4 linked regions of the Notamacropus eugenii genome follow. The protein of the gene in region 1 purifies or fractionates together with the protein of each later gene. This does not show direct contact. Links are inferred from orthologs where the notes say so. Each region holds a gene or a part of one and is shown on either strand. Other genes may lie near its edges. The genes, in order: FOXO1, ATG7, SIRT2 and SKP2.

Region 1 (8,014 bases):
GTGGATTAAGTACACACTGTATTTTGAATGTCAACATAATGGGCTTTTGTTTCTTTTTAATAATTGCAAATATTCTCAACGACCACAGTGTATGATATTCAAGTAGGATTGTTAAATGAACACAAAAAAATGTTATTAAATCAAATTGTTTTTGAGGATAACCTAGATTATTTTAATGTAAAAGAACAGACGCCTTTCATAACTTTCTCATGAAAGGAAGGGTTATATATGAGGTGGTAAAATGATACAGAACACACCTTAAAGTAGCGTTTAAGGCATGTGATTATTTTCAAATCCAACACAATGAAAATTGTTAAGGAAACAAAACGAGTTACTTGAGGAAGAGCTTCCAAATAATGTTAAGTAGTTCGACCTTTTGGTCACACGTTAATTAACTACGTGTATGACCTTTATGTAAAACAACTTTGTTATAACAATTGCCCAACAAGTCTCAGCTCTGGTTATGCTGTGAACCTCAAAATGGGGGAGGGGGGGAGGGAAGGAGACTCAAGAGAAAGACTTTTGGTCACACTAGTGAACAACTGCTATGGTTTTCAACCCTTATGATACCATTAGAACTGGCTGTGAAGAAAGGACCGGCAGGACCACTGAGGGATGGTCCTCCCAGGTTTCTGCTTCCTCAAAAGTTGCTACCGCTTATCTCAGAAGCCTGATGCAGTAAGTGAATAAGTCCCATATTGAGTCTAAAGGACAGAATGGTCTAAAACACTGTTACACCCAATCCTCTTTTAAGGAAAACTTCAGAGCATTCTTTCATGCTACTCAATTTATTTCTACCTGGTCCCCACACTGTCCTGTAACAGAAAGGTCCCTGACACCGTACTTCAATGATGTATGGCCCAAGGTGAATTAAATTAAAACCTCAGTTCTTAATTAGAAGATTTATACATGAGGCCAGCCTAAGTCGGGAAGCGCTTCCATCTTTTCCTACCAACGCAATCACAGGCCCGGAGATTGCATTTATAACCCAAAAGGGTTTGTCAGATCTCGGGAAAAGGAACTGGCCCTTTAAAAATGCTGGCTTTCTTAGCTCAGTCCCTCTCCAGGCAACCACCCCTGAGGTCCCCTCCCTCTCACCCCACCCCCTCCAAAGTGTCACACTTGAACTTTAACTCAGCTAAAGCAGCTCAGCGCCCGTAAACCCCGCCAGCTGTGGCCGCCCCTTTGCACGTGTCGGATGAGCTATCCCGGGTTCTTTTAGCTGGTGCCCAGCCCCCTGAACCCGGGGTCACTTCTGATAAATCAAAACAAAACGAGTCCTGGGTCTTCCAAGAAAACTATAAGGCCCGGACCAAAACAGCTTCCTCAAGCTTCTTTTCCTCCACCTGCCTGTTCCACACTCCCCGAAGTCCAGCGCACGCACCTATACATACACATACACTCACCCTACACTACTCTCTCTGTCACATCACCCCTGTTTTGCTGCCCCTCTAGGTTTCAGGGGAAATGGCATCACGGCTCCGCACCAATTTATGGATTACACACTGCAGAGACTCCCGGGGCTTCCAGACCCTCCCCCTGCACTTCCCTAACAATATTAAAGAAGGAATCGTTGAATTTGGACTTGGAGGACGTGGGTTCAACTCCCGGCTCTTTCCCTTTAATATCTGCTCGACTTTGAGTTTCCTAGTCAGTAAAACGAAGGAGTTGGACTAAATGACCTCTAGGTCCCTTCCAGGTCTGAGTCTAAGATCGGATGACAAGGAAATGGGCCTGCTGCGTCAAGCCTTCTCTCGCTTTCCTGGTCCCGACCCCAGCATCCACTCCACATGTATCATCACTGCATATGTACCCGTCTTTATTCCCAAAGGATCCACTTGAAAGAGCCCCCCCAGCCAAAACACACACTCACAGACACGCACAGACACACACTTCCTGCAAATCTCAGAGTTAGCCCTATACGTACACTACTATAGAGTTCCCTGCAAACAAGGACCGGACACTGGTGGGGGGCAGCTAGCTCTACAGCTGCCCCTCCTCGTGGGTACAAACCCGCACGCCTAGCTCCCCGTAGCCTCCTCCTTCTTCCCACATCCCGGAGCTGGTGGTGACCACCGCGCACCACCGCATCACCCTCGTGGCTTCCCTTGGGCACCCTCCCCCCCACTCCAGGGGTGCGGGCTCGGACGGCCTCACCTTCCAGCCGGCAGAGCTGTTGCTGTCCCCCTTATCCTTGAAGTAGGGGACGCTCTTCACCATCCACTCGTAGATCTGGGACAGGGTGAGCCGCTTCTCGGCGGAGCTCTCGATGGCCTTGGTGATCAGGTCGGCGTAGGACAAGTTGCCCCAGGCGTTGCGGCGGGACGAGCTGCTCTTGCGGGGCTGGCCGGCCAGGGGCCCCGCCGAGGCCGGGGGCACGGGGGGGTGCTGCTGGAGGGGCCCGGGCTGCGGCTGCTGCTGCTGCTGCTGCTGCAGGCAGGTGGTCTCCGGACACTGGAAGTCCGCACAGAGTCCTCCCGCGGCCGCCGCCGCCGCCGCTGCCGCCGCCGCCGCCGCAGCAGCAGCCACGGCCGCGGCCGCCGCCGCCACGGGACCCGAGGGCTGCTCGAAGTCCTCGCTCTCCTCCAGAAGGCTCAGATTGCTGATGAAGTCCGAGCTGACAGCGGCCGAGGCGGCGGACGCGGCATCCCCGGGATTCCCTGCCCCGCCGCCGCCGGAGGGGGCCGGACTGGAGGTGGCCGAAGTCGACTGGTTAAACTCCGGTCTGGGAAGGGGCCAAGTGCACGACCGAGGCCGCGGCAGAGGCTCGAAGTCCGGGTCGATCTCCACCACCTGAGGCGCTTCGGCCATGGTGACCCCCTCCCCTCCCCCCGGCCACAAGAGAGCGAAAAGGAGAGAAACCAGAGGAAGGGGTGGGGGAGGGGACTTCTCCGGAGTTAAATGCTGGGCTGGGGGTGGGGGAGGGGAAAGCGGGGGTGGGAAGGGGGGCGTAGAGAGAAGCAGGGGAGCTGGGCAGGGGGAGAGAAACCAGAACTTAACTTCGTGGGCTTATGAATTAATGCCTGCGCTTCCCCCGAGCTGCTGCTGCCGCGGCTCCGGCGGCCGCAGTGGCAATGGCAGTGGCAGTGGCCGCCGGACAGCAGGTTCGATTCGGCCCGGAGCTAAAAAGGGGCAGAATCCGCCGCCGAGGCGTCCAGCGGGCGAGCGCGGACGGCGGCGGCTGGGCGGGGGCCGCGGCCGTGCCTCCACGGCTCGCGCGGGTCAGCGGAGGCGGCCGCTGCGGCTGCTGCTCGGGCTCCTGCTGCCTGTTGAATGTGGCGGCGGCTGGCTGAGGGAGCAGCAGCAACTCGCCGGCCCACACCAGACTTACGGGATCTACTACCACCACCCAGCCGCGGGGCGGAGTCCCGGCGAGCTCCCGCCCCCCCGGCTGAGTGGCTGCTGCGCCGCAGCCAATGGGAGCGCGCGCGCTGCTCGGCAAACGCCTGGCTTGTCAATTTCGCGGGGCTCCTGTTCCAAGGGGAGGAGGAGGCAGTGGCTCAGTTTGGGGGGTGGGGGAGGTGGGGAGGAGGAGGTTTTCGTGGTTTCTCTTTTTTTTTTTGGATCCTTATTTTTCTGGTAATTCTCGAGTGTGTTTCTGTGAGACTGTGTTTTGATTTCGGCGAGGTAAATCCGCGTGGAGGCGGCGACCGCCGTTTGTTTACTACGGAGCCGAGGAGAAGCCTGGGAGGGACCCGAAGTCGCGGAGATGTGGAGCCTCTGGGGCGGATCGTGCAGCCGCCGCGGGGGTCCTCCCCAAACCTCGCCCTGCCTCTTCGTTCTTGGGGTGCTCAGAGGATGGGGAACCCCCGGGGGCAGGCGGCGGCGTGTGCGTGCAAGGTCTACAGGAATTCTAAGCGCTTTAGAAAAACTAGCGTGGAGAGAAAAGAAATGTCGTGAATTTTTGTGCAATCACCTATTTCGAGCCCCACGCGGAATTACTTCGGTGGGATGCTGAAGTCAGGCGTTCTCTCTCTCTCTCTCTCTCTCTCTCTCTCTCTCTCTCTCTCTCTCTCTCTCTCTCTCTCTCTCTCTCTCTCTCGCTGCTTCTACAACCTCCCCCATACCTACCCCGGCCACGTGCAGAACTCCGAGACTTAGCCTTGATGCCGAGGACTGACTGACAGCTCCATTAAGCAGGGCCAGCCTCCCCTCCTCCCCCTTTCTGCTTCCCTCCCTCTCCGTGAATCCTTTCCATTTCCTCCAGGAACCTAACCACCCACCTGGCAGCTGCAGCCTAAGCAGAAACTGGAGGACTGACGGAGTCCTGTCAGACCTAGGGTCAGGTCGGCTCAGCCCAGTCCTCACTGCCCCTTTCACCCACCAGTCAGGAACGGACTGAACAGAGTGACACGCTAGATGGACCTCGATCCACTCACCTAAAAATCTGAGATTGGTCGAAGAAAAGGGAAACAAGAGATCCTTGTTCCACATACCCAGGGAGGCAGAATTCATTCTTAACATGAAGTGGAACCTTTCTCTCCCCCTGTTTCATTAGCAGTTGGCTGAAAGGATTTCCAGCCTTAGTCTGGGAGGACACCTTTCCCTGGGAGGTCAGGAAATGCCTAACGGGGGTGGGAGTTGGAAGGAGGGGTGGTAAAGAGACCATATTGTTATCAGCACAAACAGTCCGGGAGGACTGGCTCTAGTATTCAATGTTTAACCTTTTGTGGAGACAGCTGATGGTAAGAAGAGTCTGAAGACCTGGGTTCTTAGTCCTGGGTCTGCTACTCTGTAACCTTGGGCAAATCACTTAACTTCTCTGAGCTATTTCCCCATCTGCAAAATGAGAGTATCGGATTCGATGACCTACAAGGCCCCCAGGTCTCACAGTCTAATATGCTGCTAATGCCATTTGTCTCCCAGTTAAAAGGGCTAAAAAGGTTTGGGTTTGGGTTTTGTTTTTGTTTTTTTAAGATGGGTAATATGCCCAAATCTCTGTGCTACATACTATCCAGCCCTACTCCCACCCCTAAAGGACCCCCAGGCTGTAATAAGATTTTTTGTCTTCTGGGCCAATCAAACCTTGACTCTTCTCCTTCCCCCTCTCCCCAAGCAGGGCAACAGGTCCAGGAAGTCCTGTAGAGGGTGAATGGGGCCAGAAGTAGAAAGACAATGGACCTTGTGTCTCAGAAAGCAGGAGAAATAGATTTCTATTTAAGTTTTTTTTTTTTTAAAGGAGGGGGTGTGGAAGACATTTCCTTCCAGAGAGACAGAATCACTTAACATAGAAGATGAACAACTGGGTTGTTTTTTTTTTAATATCTTGTCTAAATTGACAGCTGCCAGTTCTAGACAATCTCCTTTCTTCCCACCAACAATTATAAAACTGGTAAAGGGTTAGAATGTTATGGCTCTTTCTGCAAAAAAGAAGCAAGAAAGAAAGACAAATAAAAATCTCATATCCATCCCTTCATTTCCATTTCAATTGCCTTCACTCTAGTAGAGAACCGCCCCCCCCCCCCTCCATCACCTCACACCTATGTTATTTGCAATAGGCCCCTATTGATTTGGATTATCCTGATTCCTTCCTATTCCAAGCCATTCTCTTGATGTTTGTCAGACTAAGAAACCACCTTCATGTTTCGATCATTCTACAAGAACTGCCTCATTCCAAACTTCACATCTAAATTTCCCTGCTTGGCTTTCAAGTCCATCTACAATCTGGGTCTATCCTACCTGTCCCATTTTATTTTCATCTACTCCTTAACATAAACTCTTCACTTTAGAATGACTGCACTACTTTGAATAGTACTAATTCTTGCTTCCTTGTTGCTTTGTGTTTGGTTTCTTGCCCCTACCTAAAATGAACTTTTCTTTCTTTGCACCTTTCCAATTAGTACCTGTTCTTTGAGGCCTAGAGCAAGACTCAGGAAGACTTCCTGAAAACTCTAGCCCACGATGACCTCTCTTCCCTTTGAACTCATGGCCCTGATTTCCTGTTCCACTGCCTGTCGTTTAGCATGTAATTATAAATAGTACTGCCTTGTGACATCACTTATACTGTTGTTTGGTTTTTGCCATTTAACTCATATATATTACATTTTCATACTGGTATACCTTATTTCCCCAACTGCTCAGTAGATTCCTTAAATGCAGATACTGAGTATGGTACTTCTTTGTAGCATCCCACAGTGCATTATATAGAATTTGTACTCAATTAGTGTTGTTAGTAGAAAATAAGGAGGGTACAAGGAAGAATTATAGTAAAATATTTGTCACTTCTATGGGGGTGAGTTGGCAGGCAGTGTTAATGGTACAAAAAATGTTTCAATGAAACATTTAAAATATACAGAATGAAACATAAGGAAGTTCAAGGGAACACAATCAGTGAAGTTTTGTTATTCAGGTTGAATCTAATATACACCTAAAATACTAGGTAATAATTAACAATTTTGTACACAATACTGTTTTTCATTTGTTGTACACTGAAATGCTCATGTTTGTCATTTGTTAATAATAAAATATAAAAATGGAAACAATTATAGTCAAACACCAGTTCTCCAAATTCTTATGGTAGGGTTGCTGCAACCCCTGACAGGCATGTGAAAACCCTTCAGTATTTAATTACATTTCACATTTTATCGCCTTCAAATTTTTATCCTTACTCCACTACCCCTTATAAGGTGGCGTATAGAAAGTTCGAAGAATCAGAAGCCAGAAGATCCAGGGAATAGTCTCCGTTCTATCACTTACTAATTTTATTTGTTGTTGTTCAATTGTGTCCAACTTTTTGTGACTCTGGGGTTATCTTGGCAAAGATGCTAAATGGTTTACCATTTCCTTCTCTAGCTCATTTTATAGATGAGGAAACTAAGGCAAACAAGATTAAGTGACTTCCCCAGAGTCACACAGCTAGTAAATGTCTGAGGTCACACTTGAACTCAGGTCTTCCTCACTGCAGGACTGGCACTCTTTCCACTTAGCCATCTCGTGCCCCTACTAGTGGTATAGGGCCAACCACATAACCTCTACATAATAAAATAAGACTAACTTGCTTTAATTTTTAAAATATTGCCAGATCTTTTTCCCCCTAATCTGTTCAAGGAGGAGACTGAAGACAGTGTCTAGGTTCTAATATATCTCTGAATCTATGATACAACTGAAGAAACCTTTCAAATCAATAAATATTGACCATGCCCCTACTATAGCCAGGATATTGTACTAGGCACCGTGAAAAATGCAAAGCTTATATAAAACATAAATAGATATTCATCTCACTCAAGTTGTTAATTGAACATTTCCTGTAATTCCCCACCCACTGCCTCCAAGGGGGCCCTGACTTTGCTTTTCTTGAATATTGGAAGGGTTTCTGTCACTTCTCTTCAGAATCATAGGGTGCTGAGTTCCCCTACCTTGGTTACCAATGCTTAAAACAAAAAAACTTCTGAAATTCTCCAGGAGGACAAAAATCACAATCCATTTGTCTCTCTCTCTCTCACACACACACACACACACACACACACACACACACACACACACACACACACCCTCATTGTCATCATTATCATCATCATCATCCTCTTCCTCCCTCAGTAGGGGAGTAGCGTACCTTTGAATACACACCCATAGTGCCACCAGAGGGCACCCAGTAACCCAGGACTTGCACCTGGAGTTGACACAGTAAATCCAAGTCCCAATTGTCTTCATAACTAGCCATACAGATGAACAAACAAAGTTTTTAAGGAAAAATTACCTCCAAGTGCTCCAAGGCCTCTGTCTTGATAGAAAGGTAACTTCGTGAAGTAGATGGTACTCTACATTTGAAGTCAAGGAGTTCCTGGGTTTGAATCTTGCCTCTGACATTAACTGCAGTGTGACCTCAATAGGCAAATCATGAGCATTCCACTTAATTATCAATAAAGTGGGGAAACATTAAACCAGTAGTACGTAGCTCACAGGACTGTTGTAAATCAGCTCAAATGAGAATGTGTGCAAAATGACTTACAACCCTTTGAAGAAGTTGTTGGGTTAAGTGGAAAGTCTCCTGCTCTTGACTCTGAAATCAATTCAC
Region 2 (7,695 bases), on another chromosome or scaffold:
GGAATGGCTGTACAAGTAATATAAGAAATGATGAAGGGAATGATTTCAGAAAAACCTGTAAAGACTTGTATGAATTGATGATTGTGAAGTAATTAGAATCAGGAGAATTAATACAGTCATAAGTCAATGTTATAAGACAAACAACTTTGGAGGTAATGAACTCAGTGCAGACTGAAGCAATGCTTTTGAACCTGGCCAACGCAGGAATTTGTTTTGCTTATCTATACATGTTAGGAACAGGGATTTTGTTTTTCTTGCTTTCTCAAATGGGAAGGGGGCAAAGCAGAAGGGAGACAAGGATTCTCATTTGAGAAAAAAATAAAACCAACTAAAACTGAATTTAAAAATAGAAGAGGACCCTGTCTTCTGCTATGTTTTAAAAGAAGGTCATCCATCAGATTCCTTTCTCCTCCTCCACTCTGTTCAGCAAAATGGCTCTTCGTTATCCCCAATTCTCCTCCCAACTTTTCCAGTTTCTGATGAAGAAATAAGTTTTTGCCTTGCCAGTGGCAAACCCCTACTTGTATGCTATACTCTCAAATCCATCCCAATGAGTCTCTTCTAGAACTTGCCCTTTATATCATTCCAGCCTTCTTTCCCCTTAAAGTTCTCCTTATACAATGGTTCCTCCACAAGTCTAAAATAGGCCTGTTCCCCTCCTACTTAAACAAGACACTTCACCCACATTCCCTTAAGCTGTTACCTCCCCTTTCTTTTCTCTTTACCTTTTCCCTACTTTCTTTCACAACCAAATTCCTAGAAATTATCTATCTCATTACCTCTACCTCTTCCTGTCCCCTTTTTTCTAAATCTGTATAGTCTGGCTTTCAATCTCACCACAGGAATGACACTTCTCTCTGTCAAGATAAGATCTTGTTAACTGTTAAATCCAATGGCCTTTTCTCAATTCTCATCGTACTTGGTCCTTCTGTGGCTTCTGACAGTCAATCACCCCCTCCCCCTCCTCCAGCCCCTTTAGCTTTCATTACACAGCACTCTTGGTTCTCCTTTCGGACCAATCCTTCTCACACTTCTTTGCTATATCATCCTATTACTCCTACCCACTAATTATGGGTAGAGACTCTATCCTGAACCGCCTCTTCTCCATCTATACTCTTAATGATTTGTCTCCTCAGCTCCCTTAGCTCCAATTATCCAAATCCTAAGAAGGGGCACTGGAGGCACACTGGATGGAGTGTTGGCTTGGGTCTGAAGTCAGGAAGACCTAAATACAAAGTCCCACCTCAGACACTTAGTAGCTATGTGACCACTAAGCAAATTGCTTCTCGTTTGTCTCAGTTTCCTCAACAAGCGTAAAATGAGGATAATAACCACCTCCCAGGGTTGTTGTGAGGATCAAATGAAATATTTGTACCACATGAAATATTTTGTAAGTCCCTAACATATGGCTGGCACCATATAAATGTCACCTAGTACACATGTATACACACACCACACACACACGTCCTAAAGGCATCTCAGCTCAAAATGTTCCAAAGCTGCATTTCTCAAAAAAACCCTATCACTTCACCACTCCTTTATATCTATTATGGGCACTCACTACCTTGGTTCCAATCATCCAGACTGACAACTCTGATAAGAAACTCTTCTCTCCTCCACATCTCATTATTAGCTAAATCATGTTGATTCTACCTCCACGTCTCTCCTTTCTATACAATCATGTTACAACATCTTCCCTAGCTCATGTGGACATCATCTCTCTGAACTATTGCAAAAACTCCTTGGCATTCCTATTTCCAGTTGTCCCCCCTCTAACCCACTCTCCACATTGCTGTAAAACTGATATTCCTACCATACAGATCTGACCATGTGAAATTAATAAGAATTTATTAAGCATCTAATATGGGACAGCCTCTATCCAACAGAAAACCATAAAACACAAAATCCTCAGTCTGGCATTGAAAAAGCCTTCCAAAATCTTGCCCCCACCACCTATCTTTCTGGAATTATTTCACACTGCTTCACATTACCAAACTTTCCTTTTGGCTGTTTCTCCATATACACACTTTCACCTTTGTACAGGTGGTCCCCTCCTGTCTGGAATGCACTCCCTCCTTAATTCTGCCTCTCTCGGGTATCCATCCGGGCTATGGTTAGTACTCTCTCCCTCTTGAAATTATTCTGTATATATCTGGAATGCAAGGGAATTCCCTAAACTGCAGAATGAGGTTATAGGGAAGTGAACAGTTTGGTTGCTTCTCTTTCAGATTCCCCTTAAATACAGACCCACCCAAAAGAAGGGAGGCTTGTCCCAGTTAGGAATCCAGCAACTCATCCCCATTCATTCCCCCTCCCCGCTTTCCAAAGAAGCAAGTCAGAACGCAAACAGAGGCTCGGCCAGAGTTCCGAGAGCTCCTGGGATCGACCTCCCGCAGAGCACTGCCACCTTGGACCCTGGGTCTCTGGGAACACCCCCCACTGCGCCTCATCGCCCCCAGCTCTCTGCACAGATCGCAGCTGGGGCTGGACGAAGGTTAAAGACATTCCAGGGTTAGAACTCTACCGTGGGGGGTGGCGGGGAGAAATACTTTTAAAGTCGATCAGGAGCCACGGGAAGTGAGGGGGGCTGGGCGCCGGAGGGCCCGGGAGCCGAGGTCGGCGCGGCCCCCAGCCCCTGAGCCTCAGTTTCCTCCGCTGTACAAAGACAGGAGCGGGACCAGACTAGCTCCGAGGTCTCCGCCCGCTCCGGACCCTTCCGGCTCTCGGAACGGGCTCGGCCAGGAGCGAGTCCGGGGGCTCGGGAGGCGGCGGGCCGAGGGCCGGGGGCCGGGCCGGGACAGGCAGCTGCATCTCAGGGCCCCCGCCCGCGAGAACGCGGGACGAGACGCGGCCGGACACCCTCACGACCTGGCCCCCAGCGCCGCTCTCTGCACCCGGGAGCCCGAGCACGAAAGCTGCCCTCGGGGTTCTAACTGTCAGAGTCACAGACGCCTCGGAGACCCCCGACTCTCCCTCGGAAACCCCCGGCAGCAGCCAGCCGGCGACTAGCTTACCGCAGCGCCTCTTCCCCGCGCTCCCTGATGACGTATGCTCATCCCGCCCCCCCGAGGGAGGGGCCTGCACTTGGTGGGGAGTGCGCATGCCCCAGAGGAAAAGCGGCGCGGAACTGAAATACAAGGGAAGAAGTGGGAGGGGAGGCAGCCTAAAGGGAAAGTGGGTGGGGCTTCGTGGAGTGTGGGAGTGGTCAAACACGGAAGAACCAATCAAGAGAGACCAGCCTCCGAATGAAATATACCAAACGTGTTCCTGCCAGGTAGAGGCTATCTTGCTTGTCCTGGTCCCAGTCCTCCTTCTGAGGTCCAGGGTGGTACAAGGACAAGTTTACAGGGATGGGAGTCACGTCCGGGGGACAAATCCTGAAGCCGGCCACAATTCCCACCTGTGTCCCCTGGCAAAGTCACTTAACTTGGCAGGGCCTCAGCGGCCTCATCTGTAAAATGAAGGAGTTGGATGTCCCTCTTCTGGGTTTAATTAGCATGTCTTTAAAGACTCATATGTCTGTCTAGGCCTGTGGGACTCTACCTGACCCCCATGGACCACAGCACATCAGGGTCCTCTCTCCTCCACTATCTCCTGAAGTCTGTCCAAGCTCACATTCCTTACTTCCATGACACTGTACCCTCAACTCATCCTCTGCCTTCCCCTATGCCTTTCACATTCAGTCTTTACCAACGTCAAGGTCTTTTCCAATGAGTTCTGCTCATTATGTGGTCAAAGCATTTAAGCTTCAGCTTCTGTATCTGATCTTCCAGTGAATAGTCTGAATGAATTTAGTATTGACTGATTTGATCACTTTGCTGTGTAGGGGACTTTCAAAAAGGCCTCCCCTGGCCACAACTGGAAAGAGTCAATTGTGCTGAGCTCATCTTTCCTTATAGTCCAACTGTCCTAGCCATACCTTGCTACTAGGAAAACCACAGCTTTAACTCTACCGACCTTTGTCAGCATGGTGATATCTCTGCTTTCTTCTATGCTTTCCAGATTGCCATAGCTTTCCTTCTAAGGAGCAAGTGTCTTCTGCAGTGATCTTTGAGCCCAAGAATATAAAATCTGACACTGCTATTTACCAGGGAAATGATGGGACCAGTTGCCAAGATTTTAGGGGTATTTTTGTTTGTTTTGTTTTATGTTAAGCTCCAAGCCAGCTTTTATGTGCTCCCCCTGTCACCCTCATCAAGGCTTCTTAATTCCTTTTCACTTTTTGCCTTCAAAGTAGTATCATCTGCACATCTGAGATTGTTGATTTCTCCTGGCAAGTTTAATTCTGGTTTTTGAGTCATCCAGCCTAGCATTTTGAATGAGGTACTCTGCATATAACTTAAATAAATGAAGTGATAATATACAGCCTTGTCATACTCTTTTTCCAATGTTAGACCAATCAGTTGTCCCAAGTTCAGTTCTATTGCTTCTGGGTTCAAATACAGGTTCCTCAGGAGACAAGAACTTACTATATGCCAGGCAATATGATAAGGGCCAGAGATTCAAAGAAGGGCAGAAGAGAATCCCTGTTCTCAAGATGCTCACATCACCATACAACCTATGTATCCCTCCCTCTCCTTTTCCTTCTTTTACATAAGGAGGTAAGAGCTTAGAGTTGGGTTTGATTTGCATTTCTCTTATTATTAATGATTTGGAGCACTTTTTTGTCTCTTCTGGATCTATTTTCCAGGTCAGTTGTTTTTCCAGTGAGATATTTCACATTGTCTTCTATTTTCTCTTTCTTTTGGTTTTGTTTTGTAATTTCTTGATTTCTCATAAAGTCGTTAGCTTTCATCTGCTCCATTCTAATATTTAAAGAACTATTTTCTTCAGTGAGCTTTTGAACCTCCTTTTCGATTTGGCTAATTCTGCTTTTTAAAGCATTCTTCTCATTGGCTTTTTGGGCCTCTTTTGCCATTTGAGTTAGTCTATTTTTTTTATTTTCAGTGTTTCACAATCGCTATCATACGACTTAGATTTTTTTCTTTCCCTCCCTCCCCCTCCCTCCCCCCCTTCCCCCTCTCTCTCCAAGATGGCATACAATTTTATATAGGTTCTACACATACATTCCTATTAAATACATTTTCACCAAAGTCATGTTGTTGTATAGAAGAATTAAAATGAATGGGAGAAATCATGTAACAAACCAAAACATAATACAAAAGAAAACGATCTGCTACAATCTGTGATTGAATTCCATAGTTCTTTCTCTGGATGTGGAAAGCATTTTGCCTTAAAAGACCATTGGGAATTTTTTAAGTCCTTGCATTGCAATGAAGTTCTAAGTCTACCAGAAAAATCCTCACACATTACGGTTGTTGCTGTGTACAAAGTTCTCCTGATTCTGCTTCTTTTGCTCAGCATCAGATCATATAAGTCTTTCCAGGCCTCTCTGAAGTCTTCCTGTTCATCATTTCTTATGGCGCAATAGTATTCTATTACATTCATATACCATAATTTATTCAGCCATTCCCCAATTGATGGGTATCCCCTAGATTTCCAATTTTTGGCCAACACAAAGAGTGCTGCTATAAATATTTTTGTGCATGTGGGACCCTTTCCGAGTTAGTCTGTTTTTAAAGGTGTTATTTTCTTCAGCATTTGGGGGGGGGGGTGTCTCCTTTAGCAAGATGTTGACTTGTTTTTCATGATTTTCTTGCATTGCTCTCATTTCTCTTTCGAATTTTTCCTCCACCTCTCTTACTTTATTTTCAAAATGCTTTTTGAGCTCTTCCATGGCTTGAGACCATTGCATATTATTTTGGAGTTTTGGATGCAGAAGCCTTGATTTTTATGTCTTCCTCTGATGGTATGCATTGTTCTTCCTCAACCAAAAGGATGGAAGAAAATACCTGTTCACCAAGGATGTAACCTTCTACAGTCTCATTTTTTTTCCCTTTTTTGAGCAATGTCCCAGCCAGTTACTTGACTTTTGAGTCCTTTGTCAAGAGGAGGGTATACTCTGGGGACCTGTAAGTTCTCAGTTCCTCCAAGGTGGCACAGTCAAGGGAGAGGAGTTTACTCCTCTCCTGGCCTGTGCTCTGGTCTGGGAGTAACCACAAGCACTCTATTCTGCCCAGGATCTGCCAGCAGGGTTCCCTTTCCAGAGGTACCACCAGTGCTCCTCTTCACCCCAGGGTTGCTACTCAGGGCTGAGATTCAGATCACTGGCTCAATTCCCCCAGGGGCTTTAGGCTGAGAGTTTCAAAAATGGACACTGTTGTTGCTCCCACAGCCTGGGGCCCAGGCTAGGGGAGGACCCTGCTCCCCTCTCACCCAGCTGAAAGAGTTTTCTCACTGACCTTTGAAGCTGTCTCTGGTGTTTGTGGGTTGAGGGATCTTGGAGCTGCAGCTGCTGCCTGGGATTCCATGCCCCAACCTGCTCCAGTCCTGTCCCTGGCACAGCACTGCCAAGACTGGGTTGCACCCTGCTCTGAGTCCAGTACCATAGACCTTTCCTGTCGACCTTCCAGGCTACGTTGGGCTGGAAATCTTTTGCCCTCAGTCATTTTGGGGCTTTTGCTGCTCTAGAATTTGTTTAGTCATTTTTGCAAGTATTTTATGGACTGTGGCAGGAGAGCTTCTACAGGTCACCCTCCTATTCCACCATCTTGGCTCCGCCCCCACTTTTTCATGTGGTTGTGAATACTTTGCAGAATTTTAAGAACTGTTTATTCATATCCTTTGACCATTTATCTTTTGGAGAATGGCTATTAATTGTGTGTGAGGGTGTGTGTGTGTATGTGCGTGTGGATATTACATATATATTTTTTCTTGGATACCAAACCTTTATCAGAGAAATTGTTTTTAGAGAAATTTGATATGAAGATTTTTTTCCCCCATTCAATCACTTTGCATCTTATCCTAGATACATTAATATTATCTGTGCAGAAGCTTTTCAGTTTTAAGTAACTAAGGTTATCAGTTTTATCCTTTGTAACTCCCTATCTTTTGTTTAGTTAAGAATACATTTGTCAAATTATGATTTTCCCCTCTTCTGTGGTAAATACAGTATTATATTCCTTTAGTTACTTTGTTTTAATCTTTTTTAAAGGTGGTCTTGATCCCATTGACTCTCTTCCCTGATACCTTCTTCTCGTTTGTTATCCTTTTCCCTTTAGGGTTTCTTATTAGTTTATCTCCTATTTTTATCTGACTATATATTTCTATCCCTTTTTTTCTCTCTGTTAGTCATATAGATTCTGTCTTCCTCTCCTTTCTTTTAGCTAATCCTGTTCATTATTTTTTTTATTTCACTTTTTGCACCCCTTCCCAAAAAGGATTTTAGTCTCTTCATTATCTGTCTTCCATTTCTGTTTACTCTATACCCTCATTTTCTGGTTCATAACTCCTATAATCATCTGGTCTCTTTCTTTTCTCTTTATTCTTTATACAATAAAAGCTCCCTATGTATCCATTCTAGGCTCTACTCTCTAGGAACTTTCTTCCACTGCCTTGTTGGTATTACCTCATGGATTTCCCTTTTCTGTTATCCCTCATTCTCAGAACAATGCCAATACTTCAGATGTCAGAGAGGCCACTGCACTACAGTAGGGTACCTCCTATCCCCCTGTTCCCTTATCTATACCCCCTTCTTGACTTTTTCCCTACATTTCCCTGGTAATCTCCCTGGGTTCCATACTCTCCCACTTGTCCAGTTGTCAGTTGCCCCCCATGGGGTTAAACTCTCTTCCT
Region 3 (7,060 bases), about 71 Mb from region 1:
CTTGGGGCCAGGGTGTGGAGAAACGTGTGGCAGAGGCTGCCAGTGAGGAGGAGACAGCCCAGTTTGAGGAGGAGAAGGGGATGAGGGTGTGGCAGGGGGCTAGTCCAGCCAACAGATACCAGCACCACCAGCCCCGTTCTGAACAGGAATCTGAGGAGGAGATGGAGGCAGAGAAGGTGAGCCAGGAAGGCTGCTGGTCCACAGGGGACAAGGGTGGCCAAGGTGGCACATGGAGGATGGAGGGCAGAGGGGATCAGGAAGGCTCTGTCCAAGTCCTGCCTCAGGCAACATGCAGTGCCTACTATGGGCCAAGCACTGGGGTGTGTGCTGGGGGTACAAGAGAGGGAAAAGACAGGCCCTGCCCTCCAGGAGCTCATAGCCTAATGGGGAGACAACGTGCACACAGATCTATAGGCTCTAGTCAGTATGAGTAGCAGAGGGAGGACCCAGAGGGGCCTGCCTGCATGGGCAGAGAAACTTCCTTAATCTGGGAATGGCCTACATGGATGAAATCCTGGCCTCTGGAGGCCAGAAGAGGCATGGGGTGATGAAGAAGGGTCTCCTTAGAGCACTAAGTGACATCCCTCTCCCCGCCCCCCCCCCCCCAGGAACATGAACTGGCTCGCCTGGAGCAGATGGGGGAGGAGCTGAAGAAGGCAGCCGAGGCACTGGGCAGGAGGGGCTGAGAAGCAAATGTGAATGCCAGGCACCTGCCCCACCCACCCTCGCTCATCTCAGAAAACTGGGCTACGGACTGGTTCCTGCCCTTCTTGATCAGCCCCTCTCCAGGTGGTGGGGGGAGGGAGCAAGAGAGGGTCACCAAGAAAACAGACTGGGGGGGGGGTCAGAGATTTCTGCCCCACCTGCTCCCCTCTCCCCCAACGTAAATAAAGCACAGATAAAAGCATGCCTTTCCTCCCATTGGTCTGTTTCTGAATTCAGATGCTCTGGCCCCAACAGATCCCTGGACACTCCAGCCAGGGGAATGAGAGTTTTATTGAAATTAAAGCTTTTCTACAAAAAAAAAAAAAAAAAAGCAAAGAAATTGGCTAGAGATAGCCAGCAGGTGAGGAAGGTGTGCCTCAGTTTCCACTTCAGCTTCCGTGGACCACGATGTCATCATACTCATCCTAGAGGATAGTGGAGTCAGGAATTGATTCTCCTTCATCCTGGGCCTCCCCCCAAGTTCCCCATCTCCCATCAACCCTCCCCTTCTGGAACGATCAGTTACCAGACCACCCTTCCCCAGTGCTCTCTCTTCTTCCATCCCATTCATCCAAGTTTCTCACTGGCTGAACTCCCCCAGGTCACTTACACCTTCATCAGTATCGCTGCCTCTCGGGCTGGAGTCTTCCTCTTCCTCAGACTCAGGTTCCGGGGCTCCATGAGCACGCAGGAGACGGGCGAGGAGGGGGTCTGACCTCAGCGTGGCACTACCCAGCGGGGTACGGCCTCCATACATTTGGGCCTTGGGGTCTGCGCCGCCATCCAAGAGTAGCTCCAGGACCTCAGCTGCCTCTGCCTCCACAGCCAGGTGGAGGGGACTCCGCCCACACGTGGGCTCCTGATTGGGAAAGAGAGTGCATGTAAAGGACATGTCCCCCCTTTCTGGAGCCCCAGCCCCCACCCCCTCATCTATCCCTAGTCACTACTGCTGACAACAGTCTCTTCCTAGAGGTTAGGCCTGTCCCCCATTTGAAGGACCTGGTATCTTCATGCCTAACTCACCTTGTTTTTCAGACCATGTATGATCTGAAGGGGACCCCGCTTGTCTCAAAGAAGCCCCTCTGCCCACTGTGGGTCGATGTCTGTTTTATAGCTCCCTCTCAGAGGAAAGCAGTAATCTCCCTCATTTAGACTCCCCCAATCTAGAGAAAGGAGCTGGGGGTGCGGAAAAGAATCTCACAGAACAGATACATGGAAGGAGGGGAACAGCAGCATGGGAAAAGGGAGGAGGGCCTGGGAGTTGAGGGCAGACAGGGTTCTGTATCCTTACTGGTTTGTTGAGATCTGCCCCTGCTTCCCGGAGCAGCTGAACCATCTCTGTGTCCCTGTGGATCACAGCCACATGGAGCGGAGTGTGGCCTGTGGAGTTATTTTAGAGAAACAAAGATTTAGAAGGCCTTTAGGGAATACATTTAGAAAGCATTTAAGGCAAATGAGCATACTCAAAGGAAATGGGAGAATATGCATTTAGTGGGGATCTGGCCCTAAGTTCAAATCCAGCCTCAGACACTCACTTGCCTGTGTGGACTGTCCCTGGGCTAGTTCCTGAACTCATTTGTCTCATCTGTAAAACGGGGAAAGCAGGGGAAAGTGATGACACCTACTCCACTGGGTTGTTGGGAAGATCAAATCAGATAATGCTGGGAAAGCCCTTGGCACAGTGCCAGAGGCAGAGTCACTCCTATGTCCACGTAGCCATGGCTACTGTTTGCATCCCCCTTGTTGGGAGATGCTTCCAGCCCCCAGGAATCAGGCTGCGTCCATGACAGTGGGGAGAAGCATTGGCTGGGCCATACCCTGGTAGTTGGTGCACTCCAGCTGCTCCCGTCTCTCCTGCTCCTCCTCCTCCTCCTGGGCTGTCTGGCCCTCAAGGGGCCCCAAAAGGGCCCGGGCACAGGCATGAGCCCCAGCCCTGCAGGCCAGGTGCAGGGGCGTGTGCCCACCTCGCTCTGCCACACAGAGCCCGGCCCCTGCGGCCCGCAGCTTCTGAGTGAGGGCTGCCTCCCCCAGAATGGCCGCTATGTGCAGAGCCGTCTGTGGACAGAGGAACACAAGTGCAAGCAGAAGCCAGTCAGTCCTGGGGGTGGGGGGTTGGGAGGGCCTCTTCCTGGCCCTGCCGGCCCCATCCACAGGTAGGGGAAGGACCTCACCTGGCCCAGGTCATTCTGGAGATCCAGGTATTCAGTACCTGCCGTGAAGTGAAGCAGGAAGTCCAGGAAGGCTTCGTGCTGGTGAATCACTGCCAAGTGCAAGGCCCTGGGCAGGGGGGACACAGAGGGTCAGGGAGGTGGGGGTCGGGCCACCTTCGAGGCCCCGTTGCGGGGCAGCAGGGGAGAAGGAAATTAAGCTCCCTAAAAGAGTCACCGTTCAAAGGGAAAAGAAGGGGGTCAGGCGGGGTCAGGGGTCAGAGGCCAGGAGGTTTGGAGAGGGACAGAATGTAGGAGCAGGAAAACTAATCCAAGCCATAACTCAACGTCCCCTGTCCCAGGTGATGGCCTGAGGACCCCCGGGGCCTCCTAGCCCTGCCTTCACACCTCCCCTCCCTCCCTCGGTTTCCCCTCCGGTAAGGGGCGGGGATCCCCCCTCCACCTTTCCACGACCCTGGGAAGGGGAGAGCCTTGGGGGCAGGGGCAGGGGCAGCGGGCCGGCCCCTTACGTGTCCCCGTCGTCCGTCACGTAGCCGAACACCTCGGGCGCCCAGCTAGCTGGCTCTTCGTCCTCGTCCTCCTCCGTCCTGTCCCGCGGCCCGTCCGCCGGGGGCCCGAGCCCATCGGGCCCTAGAGACCCGAGCCCGCTGTCGCACCACTCCTCCGCGAGCCCGCTGTCCCCGGACTTCACGGGCCCCGCCGGGGCCGCCATGGCCTACGCAGAGCCCTCCCGTCCCGGGCCCCCCCGGTCCATCCAGAGTCTTGGTCGCCACAGCCGCCGGCCCGGGGATTCCGCGGACCCGGGGAATTCCCCCTGCTCCCCAACTCGCTCAGCGCTTCGACCAATCAGGGAGGGTCGCACCGCCCTTTTTAGAGATGACTGCCAATAAGATCGCGCAACCTTTCCGGCAGGGCTCCGCCCCTCGCACCAAGTTGTCCAATAGAGGCAATAGACGCATTTGGTCGGCTCGGCTCGTGTATCCGCCCTCAGTCCCGCTTTACCCGGACGGCTTCCGGCGCCAGGCACACTGGGAATCGTGGTTTCTCTGTGAGCGGTGGGTCACGCCGGCCTTCAACACGGCGGAAAGACGGCGCGGGGCATTGTGGGATTCCCGCGATGGCCACATGCTCTTCTGGGAATTGTAGTCCATAGCCCGCCCTGCCTGCCCCCGCCCCCGCCCGTGTCCTGCGCCGTCACGGGACGGAGCAGTCGGTGACAGCCCCGAGGGCCCCTGCCCGCCCCCCACGCTGCTGAACCCATCCCCGGGGCCGGGCCCATGGCCGAGGCGGACCGTGAGTCGGGGCACGGGTGGGCTCTTGGGCCGGGCCTAGGACCAGGCCCTCTGGGCGAACGGCTATGGGGACTCGCCACCCGGAAACCACCGCGTGGGGCCCCGATCTAGGGTTGCGGGGAGGAGAATGGGTTGGGCCCTGGGGGCCCCAGTCTCCGCAGCGCCGGCTAAGGCTGGTTGGGAGCCAAGATGGGGGGTCCTAATTCCTGGGGTGTCCAGTACCTAAGGGCCTCGTTTTAGGGTGGAAGGAAACAGGTGCCGCGGCTGCTGCGGGGTATGTGGTGGAGTGGATCTGGTTACCAAGGACCGTGACCTCTGGGAAGCCTGGTACCTGGTTGCTAAGGGCCCCTCTGCACCCCTGCCCGTGGCCAGTTGGGGTCCCCCTCCCCGCTTCTCGCTCCCGCCGCCGCCCCCACGCTAACGGCCTCCCACCCCCCCTCCAATGTAACCCTGTCTCCCTACCCCCCTTCCCTAGCCCCCGGTCCCCCTCAGGACGAGGCAGGGAAGGTGCAGGATGCTCAGGTGAGAGGGGGCGCCCTTGGACGTTCGTGATTGGCTGGCCGGGGAGGGGACGAGGTCTGTGATTGGCCGCTAGGGGAGGGAGAGGACGTCTATGATTGGCCCGTGAGAGGATCCGCGCCTCCCCCGCCTGCTCCCATCACTCATGGCTCTCCCCGGCTTTCCCCCAGGGAGTGGGTCGCCCCGTGTCCCAGATCCACAGGGCTTATTCACCCCGCCCCCAGCCCTGAAACAGCAGATCCGCCCGCCCATCCCCCATTCCGAGGACCCTAACCCCCTCCTTCCCCACCTACCCTTCCCTCCTTTGACCTCCTTTCCCCAAACTGTGCCCCTCCGCTTCCCTCTCTGGCTCTCCTTTCTAATGACCCACCTTCCCTCTGACCCTCTTTCCACTGACTCCCCTTTCCCAACCCTCCTCCCGTGATCGTCCTCCCCAAGCGCCAACCCTCTGGAGCCCCCCTTGACCCTCCTCCCTCTCTGGCCGTTTTCTCCCAGGACTCAGATTCAGAAACTGAGAGTGGAGCTGCATCTGGAGAGACAGAGAGTAAGTTGTCCTGGGTGGTGAACTGGGGGGGGGGACAAGACTGGCTGAAGCCTAGTTGGGACCAGTGCCTGCCCTCTTCCTGCATAACATCATCCTCTGGTCTGCCCCACAGTGGACTTTTTACGGAATCTCTTCTCCCGAACCCTGGGCCTGGGCAGCGGGAAGCGAGAAAAGTTGTTGGATGAACTTTCCTTGGAAGGGGTGACCAAGTTCATCCAGAGTGACCAATGTGAGTTCTTGCTTCTCCCCATCTCCTTTTCTTAGCTCAGGTTGTCTACAGGATGTGCCTTACCCCATCCACCCAACCTCAGCTCCCATGTCCCGGGTTGGGACCACTTCTCTCCCTCCCCTTACCCATTCCTCAGGAAACCCAGTGAGACACATCCAGACCAGGTGAGAACTCAGGACTAAAGGGTGGGACTCACCTTAGGATTCCACAGGGCCAAAGCAGTCCGGGTAGGGAAGTTGTCCTTCCAGGGAATGAGACTAGAGAAACAACCCCAAACTGCTCTGGTCTTGAGGTCTCTCCCCTCACCTTTTTTCTCTTCCAGGTCAGAATATCATCTGCATGGTAGGGGCAGGGATCTCTACATGTAAGTAGCTGCTTCCCTGTGCCCTCAGGTTCCAAACTCCCCCCAGAATGGAGAAGGGGGGCCAGATCCCCAAAGGAGCTAACCTAGGGGTTGGGATAAGGCCCCTCTCACCAGTGAGGTGGCCTCCCCCAGGGATGCCTCTTCTATTACCCTTGTCCCCAGCTGCTGGCATCCCTGACTTCCGCTCCCCGTCCACCGGCCTCTATGCCAACTTGGAGAAGTACAACCTTCCCTACCCTGAAGCCATCTTTGAGATCAGCTACTTTAAGGTAAAACTGTCATTAAGAACACCCCACTTTTCAAGTTTTCACAGACTCCTTGGAGGGAGAACCCTTCCCTTTCCTGAGCCTTCATGCTTTCAAACACTAGCAGGGCAGATCCTGCAGCTAAATCCTTCATCTTATCAAATATCACTAGTGGGCCCCCCAAATCTGGGCTGCTGATCCTGGGTAGGGGATTGTAAGGAGTGAAGGGTTCACGTATCTTCATCTGTCTTTGTCTGTTTTCCCCAGAAACACCCTGAGCCCTTCTTTGCTCTGGCCCGGGAGCTGTACCCAGGGCAATTTAAGGTGAGCTTAATCAGAGGAAAAGGAAAGGAAAGGTACACAATTGGGGGACAGAGTCAGGGCTTCCCCATCTGGGCTTGGGGGGGGTGGGCTGCTCCCCACAATGGGTGGGAGAAGAAACTGGGAAAGTCCCAGTTGTCTAACCACATCAAAGACAATGTGTGTGTACCCCTTGGCCCTCACTCCCCTCCACCCCTCTGTAGCCCACCGTGTGTCATTACTTCATGCGCCTGCTCAAGGAGAAGGGCCTACTGCTTCGCTGCTATACCCAGGTGAGGGCAGCCAGGGAAGGGGGGAGGATGAAATGCCCACACTCTACAGGCTGTGTCCTACAGAGGCAAGTCTGCCTTGCCAGACCCAGTGGGCAGCCCCCCAGATGGGCAGTGGCACCAAAAATATAATTCTTCCCCAAAATAACCACAGTGCATCATTTGACTTCATTTGTCCTTTATAAATACTTTTGAGTTTTATTTTTGGAAAGAACAAACATGTTCTATGATATCTCTGTGTTCGAACGTTAAATTGATGACTAGCCAATTCTTTCTTACCCTAGTCAGATTTTCTTTCCATCCATTCTGATGTGAACTTTCGATTTAGTTTAATTTCAATAAATAATTTTCAGACGCTGTGGCGGAAAGCTGGGTTACACACCTGGGCAAATGCACAGTTCCAA
Region 4 (7,428 bases), on another chromosome or scaffold:
AACTATGTCCCCCAAACTATGAAAATGCTCATTCCTGTTTAACTAGCTATATCATTACTAGGACCATATTCCAATGAAATCAGAAAAAGAGGAAAAGGATTTATTTGTACAAAAATATTTAGAGCAATTCTTTTCATGAGAACCCCAAACTGGAAACTAAAAGAGTATCCTCTCATTAGGGAATGGCTAACCAAGCCACAGTGTACAAAAGTAACAGAACATTACTTTGCCAAAAGAAACTTAAAAAATGGGACAGTTCGAGAAAGACCTCTATGAAATGATGTAGAGCAAAGAGAACTAGGAAAACGACTTTCCCCAATATCAAAATTGTAGAGTAAAACAAATTTGGAAAACTTTAGAAGTCTGACCAACACAAGTCCAAAAAATGATGGAACATGATACCTCTTGACAATGTGGTGATAAATTAAAATACATAAGACATGCATTTTCAGACACAAAGTAGGAGTTTGTTTCATAAGCCTACAGCTGTTGTAATGAGGGCTTTATTTGGTTAGTTTTTTTCTTACCCTGATCCATGATTTAGATAAAGGGAATGGGAGAGATTAATAAAGAAAAAAATGACATTTAGTAACAAAAATAAATTCCAAGAATTCTCTCTTGAATTTAAGTTCATTTCTCTTGTTCAATCCTTTGTGATAAAAAAAATTGATCTGTAATCTTCACCTTGAACACTCTTCATATACTTCAAGATAAACATTAGATAACCCCTATTTATTTCATCTATCAACTCCTTGAGAAACTCCTACAATGTTTAGGATCCAGAAACTAAAGAAGTCTCAAAAGGCAGAACCAGAGTAACTATGACAAAGGGTAGAGTAGATGCTAGAATGTTGTAAAGAGAAAAAAAATTCAGAGCAGCGTAAAGCGTAGTATTAAACTTTCAAGAAATACTAAACTTTCTGAATTAGTTGAAGATTAACTGCTTATGGTGGACATTATGTGAGGGTAAAGTAGGAAGACAAGGAGTCAGTTTTAATTAAATATGCCTTTAAGGCACATAGTTATTTTATCCTTTATCATTACAAATATCAACCAAGGAAGTCATACCTACTTTGAGAATGTTTTATATTTAACAAAGTAAGAGACGCTTTCTGGAATATTCTACTTAGGTACCTAAAATTTCTGACTATACACCATGGACCTTGCCCATTTATCCACAAGGTAAACAAATATCCCTAATACCTTTACCTCTTTGTTTGTTTAAGAGCCAAAGAGAACTTAAAAGGATTACATCCCAGTTCTTATTTAATGTAGGTGATAATCATTACAGCTGAGGCGGCAAGTATAAGTGTGGTTGAGATCTGTGATTTCAGTGGCATAGAGAACTCAAGTTCTCAACTGTAAACTTTCACCACCAAAGCAGATGCCTGAGGCACTGGAGATAAAGTGACTGTTCCAGGGTCAGTCGGTAATATGTCAGCACCAAACCAAGTTTCCCTGACTGAGGCCAGCTTTCTCCATCTACTATTCCCACAATTTCAGCCTGGCTTCAGTGCCATTATTTCTATAAAAATGAATTCTTAGCATATTTGATTTTTTGATACTATTACACTATCCTTATTCCTATAACTAATTCCACTTGTAGTCAGCTGTGATTCCTTGTTCTTATTCTGTTACGTCCGTGCTCTGCCATTCGCCCCCTGTATCTGTTTTTGCCACCAAGTACCTTACACATCCCAGTAGGATTTAGTCCAATAGAGACAGGTCTCCTTTACCATCACTGTGAATTCTATTTCAAGCTTCCAAAGTGTTGGCAAATCCCTGCTCAATGGCATCAAATACAATAAGCCCATTATTAACTCACTTACCTAGATCACTAATAAATCTCTTTACAATAATCCTGGTCATGGAATAAGAATCATATCTTTGTGTAAATGCAAAACGAGGTGTTAAGGAAGTGAGCCTTAATACAAAAAAACCTAAAATTCATCAAGGGTCTGTATTACTCAGGAAATGCTAAATCTAAGCCAGGTGCAATCAAAGCTTGTGGAAAACATCTAACTGAAGCTGATGGGCTGGATGACTCCAAGTTTAAAATGGACAAAAGCTGGTTTTAGGCTAACACTCTCAATAATTTAGATAAACTGAAGGGAGTTAAGATGATGGGTCAGGACTGAATATGATGAATAATAAACTAACCCCCATGAAGCACGCTGAGGAGGCTGCAGTCTGCGGACACCTGTTCCTCCAGGGCAGGACTGGGCTCTCTAGAGCTCCACTCAGGAGGTTCAACAAGAGGTCCTGCACAGTCCACCCACCCGTAGCCTGCACACCTTTGAAGTGAGGGCTGAATGAGAGATGTTCCTAATTCACAAACTGGAACTTCAGACCTTACACTAAGCGACACCAAAGACGCCACATTCCAGAGAGGGTATGAGTCAAGAGAAAGCCTAGCCTGCAGACGGATATCGCAGACAGACAGCCAGTCTTTATGGAACCCTTCCCGTATCTCCAGGTTTTCTAACCGTAGTCACTAGTTAATTATCAACGATCTGTGCAAAGGAAAGGGGTAAAGACAAAAGGGTTTGCACGTAGCTTGGGCACACGTCCTCTTTGACCTAGACGTACTCTTTTGGATAAAAACATAATTATTTGCACTGAAACGCTCTTTTGAATGTCTTCTTCCCCAGAGGAGAGATGGAAGAACTGTCGAACCTTCCGGACTGACAGAAGAGGCGAGGGCGCGTCCCCGCCACGATAATGTCACGATAACGAAGCTAAAAATGGCTGGGAAAATAAAGATCATCCGCTTACAAGAACCACCTCAGTTTAGTGAACTACGCAGAGGAAGCCTCAAGCTGACGTAGTTTGAAATAAAGACAGCCAATTCAAGAGGTATCGATCGTCGCTACCGCTTAGCAATCACCCTTTTGTTTCCCCAAAGCCTCCTTTTATTTTCAGACTCACAGGCACCCTAACCTCCGGGATCAGGAATTCCCTGAAAGGAAAGGGGAGAACGCACCCCCCTCCCCATCCATCCCAGCCTCCGTCCGTCCGTGCGTCCATCCACAAAGAAGCTGACCACTGAGATCAATAACCACTCACATCCGGCGGGAAGGAGGCTTAATTGTGCCCACAGATACGTCATCTTTCCACGGTTCCGAGCAAAGCCGGGGCAGGACCCGAAGCAGGACCCGGAGGCTGCTCAGGGACTGCGGCATTAGGCGGGGGGGGCCTAACAGCGGAGCAGAAAGCGTCCTCCCCGCCCCCCCCCCCGGGAGGCCCGCCCGGAGCCGCAGGTGCCCGTCCTGCCCGGGGCCCGGAAGTGGTTCCGTCATCCCGGGGGGGATGTCCTCCACGTCTGGGCCCTAGGACCCGCACCTTACGGGGTGACGACCCGGGGGAGGGGGCAGGCGACCCCCCCCGTTCCTTTCCACGCCTACCCCCACCCCCGGCCGCAGTGTGGTGATGCTTCCCAGGACAGACTCGGGATCCCGGGGAGCCGCCCCTCGCCGGCCGCTGCCCCCGACTCACCCGGACGACTGCGCCCCCCTCAGCAGGCGCGGCGGGCCCTCGGGGTCGCCATCCCCGCCTCGGCCGTCCCCCACGGCGCGTTCCCGGAGCCCCGATCTCACCGTCCCGCCGGGGGGCTCCGTGGGCCAACGGGCAGAGGGGCCGCGAGGACCCGCCGGCGCCTCCGCCGTCTCGGGGTGAGCGCGGAGCAGGGCGCCAGGCAGCGCAGGAACACCGGCTGCCTTCAGGCCGGTGACATTTCTCCGCCGGCCCCCTCCTTCCCTTCCGCTTCCTCGTGCCTACGTCACCGCTCTCCCCAGGCCTCGCTGGCGTCCCGCCCCGCAGGGGCTTCTGGGTTATCGTAGGCGGGGCCGGAGTGGGAGGAGAAGTGAGAAGGGGCGCGCGAGAATACGAAGAGTGGGCTGAAGAGACGGCCGCAGACCGACGATTTGGCAGGAGGAAGGAGACTACAAATCCCAGCAGGCAGCGCGCCTGTCCGGGGCCGCCTACCGAGAGAGGGAAAAGGTTCCGCGCGCGGGTTGAATGGGACGCTGCCCTGCTGGGTCCGGCTCTGCCTGCGGGGCGTGGAGGTGCGGCTGCGGCTCGTGGACGCGGGAAGCCTGGAGATCCGGGGCTGAGCCATTCATGCGAGGACTTAAATCCCCTAGTCTGCCCCGGCAAGTCCATCATGCACAGGTAACCAGACCTATTTGCGGGGGTGCACAGCGGAGGTATGGAGGAGAAGGAAAATGTGGATGCTGTGCCTCTCCCCTGGACCTGCGCTGTTTAGCCTTCCCCGCTTAGGCGCTTAGGGGCACGGTAAGTTGGCCAATGGAGGCTCTGGCCTCGTGGCTCTGGGAGCTTCTCTCCAGCCTCCCCGGCCGGGCGTGGGGGTTCGTGTTTTTTCCTCCTCTCCCCCGTCTCCCCCTCCCCTTCTAGGCTTTTTAGATAAATGCACATGTACCCCAGCTCACCACTTAGCAGCCACCCGGACGGCTGAGACTCCCCTGTGCGTTCGCTGCCTGTGCCAGCCCGGGTTGGTTTGGCTCGGACGCTTCGTGGGGGGGATGCTCATTGATGGAAAGCTTGTCAATTTCCTGCAGGAAACACCTCCAGGAGATTCCCGATACAAACAGCAATGTTAATTTCACCTTCACGTGGGGCTGGGACCTCCACAAGACCTCGGATCTGCTCTCAGGCATGGGGGTTGCAGTTCTGGAGAAGGAAAAGGTGGACACTGAAAACATCCCCCAGGAGCTGCTCCTCACGCCAGCCCCTCCGCCCAAGAAGCAGAAGGTGAAAGCCAGGGAAAAGGACTTTGTAATTGCCCGCAGGCCCAGGCAATCCAAAGAGAATAGTTCAGGTAAGTCTGAAAGCCTGAAGTTTGCTTGTTGTACTGCAACACTTCCAGGAGTTAGTAGAAAACTTTTAGGGATGACCGCTAAGCACCAGATCATAGGTTCGGAGATGGAAAGGGGCCCGTGGAGTTCAACCCCCTCTTTCCACAGATGAGAAAGTTGGTAAGAATAAGGTCTTAGGGCAAGACAGGTAAGTATATGTCAGAATCAGGACTTGAATCCTGGTCTTCAGACTCTAAATCCAATAGTGTTTCCAGATGTATTATATTTGCAGATCTCAGTTTGGAGAGTCCATTGAATTATGAAATGGTATATGGGGGACAGAGCTATCAGGATCTGGTGTCCCTCATCTTAACACATACTGGATTTGTGACTTTTGGCTAGTCTCAGTACTTAAGACAGTTATATTGGTACAGGGATGTTCCTCACCCTTTGTTTTCTAAACTGATTTAATTATTGTTCCCAACAAAAAATATAGATTAGCCAATGCCTTCAGTCTTGTCCAGGAACATTTAAAATTTTTACCTTCTGGTCATGATCTGCTTGAAGATATATCTAGGTACATTCCAACCTTTTCACTAGATTTGTGACATGCAGAAGTGAATACATAAATCATGGGGAAGAGTTTGTAAGGTGAAGATCTTGCAGGTTTGTGCTTTGGTTTATACTGTGCAGTACTGCCCTGTACTTATGCATGGGCCTTTTTTCTACAGTCTCTACACTTGGTATTGGATAAGCACTGAATCCTAGATGGGCAATTAAGGACCTTAGGCTTACTCCTAGGTTAGAGTGCCAGACAGGGAGTCAGAAACTCTTCCTGAGTTCAGACCCAGCCTCAGCCACTTACTAGTTGTGTGACCTTGGGCAAGTCACTTAACCCTGGTTGTCTCAGTTTCCTTATCTGTAAAATGAGCTGGAGAAGATGGCAAACCACTTCAGTCTTTGCCAAGAAAACCCTAAATGGTTTGAATAAATGGAGTCAGGGAGAGTTAAGCATACTAAAAAGACAGAAATACAACAAAAGGCTTACTCCCCTGTGGCAAAAGGCTAAGTAAGTATTAGATTAAGTGATGACCTTACCTGAGAAGTAGGGGGAGGAGTTAAAAAGTTTGTTCTGTCCATGAAGTTCTGGAACAGAGGCAGCCTAAGTCTGGTTTCAAAGGCTACTGACCTTACAAACAATTTAGATTATCCCGAGGGGAAGAGAGGAAAGCAGTGAGGTGCAATATCAAAATAATAGACTCATTTCTTTTTTTAAATTCATTTATGTTTTCAGTTTTCTACAATCACTTCCATAAGTCTTAGATTTTCTTCTCCTTCTTTACCCTTTCTTCCCCCCTCCCTCCCCAAGATGGCACACAATCTCATGTGGGTTCTATACATACATTCTTATTTAATGCGTTTTCACCTTAGTCATGTTGCATAGAAGAGTTAAAATGAATGAGAGAAACCATGAGAAAAAACAAAACATAACCCAAGAGAAAATATTCTGCTTCATTCTGCAGTCCTGTTCCATAGCCTTCTCTGGATGTGGAAGGCATTTTGCCTCAAGAGTCCATTGGGAATGTTTCAGGTCCTTGCGTTGCTGTGGTTGTCTAAGTCTACCAGAAAAAGTCCTCCTGCGCTGTGGTTGTTACAGTGTACAAAGTTCTCCTGGTTCTGTTCCTTTCACTCAGCATCAGTTCATATAAGTCCTTCCAGGCCTCTCTGAAGTCTTTCTGTTCATCATTTCTTTTAGCACAATAGTGTTCCATTACTTTCATATATCACAGCTTGTTCAGCCATTCCCCAATTAATGGGCATCCCTTCGATTTCCAGTTCTTGACCACCACAAAGAGAGCTGCTATAAATATTTTGGTACATGTGGGACCCTTTCCCATTTTTATGATCTCTTGGGGATACAGTCCTAGAAGTGATATGGCTGGGTAAAAGGGTATGCACATTTTTGTAGCCCTTTGGGCATAGTTCCAGATTGCTCTCCAGAATGGCTGGATCAGCTCACAGTTCCACCAACAATGAATTAGTGTTCCAACTCTCCCACATCTTCTCCAACATTATCATACTCCTGTTTTGTCATGTTAGCCACTCTGATAAGTATGATGTGGTACCTCAGAGTTGTTTTGATTTGCATCTCTCTAATCACTAGTGATTTAGAATATTTTTTCATATGACTACGGATAGCTTTAATCTCTTCCTCTGAAAACAGCCTCTTCATATCCTTTGACCATTTATCAATTGACAATGGCTTGTATTCTTATAAATTTGACTCAGTTTTCTATGTATTTTAGAAATGAGGTCTTTATCACAGACACTACTTGAAAAATTCTTTCCCAGTTTTCTGCTTCCCTCCTAATCTTGGTTGCATTGAGTTTGTGCAAAAACTTTTCAATTTAATGTAATCAAAATTATCCATTTTGCACTTCATAATGTTCTCTGTCTCTTGTTTGGTCATAAATTTCTTCATCCTCCATAAATCTGACAAATACACTATTCCTTGCTCCCCTAATTTGTTTATAGTATCAGCCTTTATACCTAGATCATGTGTCCATTTGGACTTTATTCTTGTGTAAGGTATCAGGCATTGGTCTATGTCCAG

Evidence for each region.
Region 2: the proteins of FOXO1 (region 1) and ATG7 purify together in Homo sapiens (affinity purification with western blotting; 4 studies listed by BioGRID). This does not show direct contact. The link is inferred for Notamacropus eugenii from reciprocal best matches to the Homo sapiens genes FOXO1 and ATG7.
Region 3: the proteins of FOXO1 (region 1) and SIRT2 purify together in Homo sapiens (affinity purification with western blotting; 3 studies listed by BioGRID). This does not show direct contact. The link is inferred for Notamacropus eugenii from reciprocal best matches to the Homo sapiens genes FOXO1 and SIRT2.
Region 4: the proteins of FOXO1 (region 1) and SKP2 purify together in Homo sapiens (affinity purification with western blotting; 4 studies listed by BioGRID). This does not show direct contact. The link is inferred for Notamacropus eugenii from reciprocal best matches to the Homo sapiens genes FOXO1 and SKP2.

What each region holds. Positions count from the first base shown.
Region 1 is NC_092876.1:103,132,758-103,140,771, forward strand, and holds the start of FOXO1 (forkhead box protein O1), read right to left. Parts: upstream 3,216-8,014; 5' UTR 2,812-3,215; coding exon 2,158-2,811; intron 1-2,157. UniProt on the Homo sapiens protein: Transcription factor that is the main target of insulin signaling and regulates metabolic homeostasis in response to oxidative stress.
Region 2 is NC_092874.1:433,684,329-433,692,023, forward strand, and holds the start of ATG7 (ubiquitin-like modifier-activating enzyme ATG7), read right to left. Parts: upstream 3,102-7,695; 5' UTR 3,015-3,101; intron 2,705-3,014; exon of another isoform or gene 2,525-2,704; intron 1-2,524. UniProt on the Homo sapiens protein: E1-like activating enzyme involved in the 2 ubiquitin-like systems required for cytoplasm to vacuole transport (Cvt) and autophagy.
Region 3 is NC_092876.1:32,024,369-32,031,428, reverse strand, and holds the start of SIRT2 (NAD-dependent protein deacetylase sirtuin-2), read left to right. Parts: upstream 1-4,023; 5' UTR 4,024-4,150; coding exon 4,151-4,166; intron 4,167-4,405; exon of another isoform or gene 4,406-4,492; intron 4,493-4,640; coding exon 4,641-4,687; intron 4,688-5,179; coding exon 5,180-5,228; intron 5,229-5,340; coding exon 5,341-5,457; intron 5,458-5,779; coding exon 5,780-5,821; intron 5,822-5,983; coding exon 5,984-6,090; intron 6,091-6,333; coding exon 6,334-6,390; intron 6,391-6,590; coding exon 6,591-6,659; intron 6,660-7,060. Other genes in the region: CCER2 (coiled-coil domain-containing glutamate-rich protein 2), read left to right, coding at 1-176, 609-686; NFKBIB (NF-kappa-B inhibitor beta), read right to left, coding at 1,095-1,130, 1,316-1,564, 1,997-2,085, 2,523-2,760, 2,877-2,982, 3,383-3,585. UniProt on the Homo sapiens protein: NAD-dependent protein deacetylase, which deacetylates internal lysines on histone and alpha-tubulin as well as many other proteins such as key transcription factors.
Region 4 is NC_092875.1:424,995,106-425,002,533, reverse strand, and holds the start of SKP2 (S-phase kinase-associated protein 2), read left to right. Parts: upstream 1-4,300; 5' UTR 4,301-4,551; coding exon 4,552-4,837; intron 4,838-7,428. UniProt on the Homo sapiens protein: Substrate recognition component of a SCF (SKP1-CUL1-F-box protein) E3 ubiquitin-protein ligase complex which mediates the ubiquitination and subsequent proteasomal degradation of target proteins involved in cell cycle progression, signal transduction and transcription.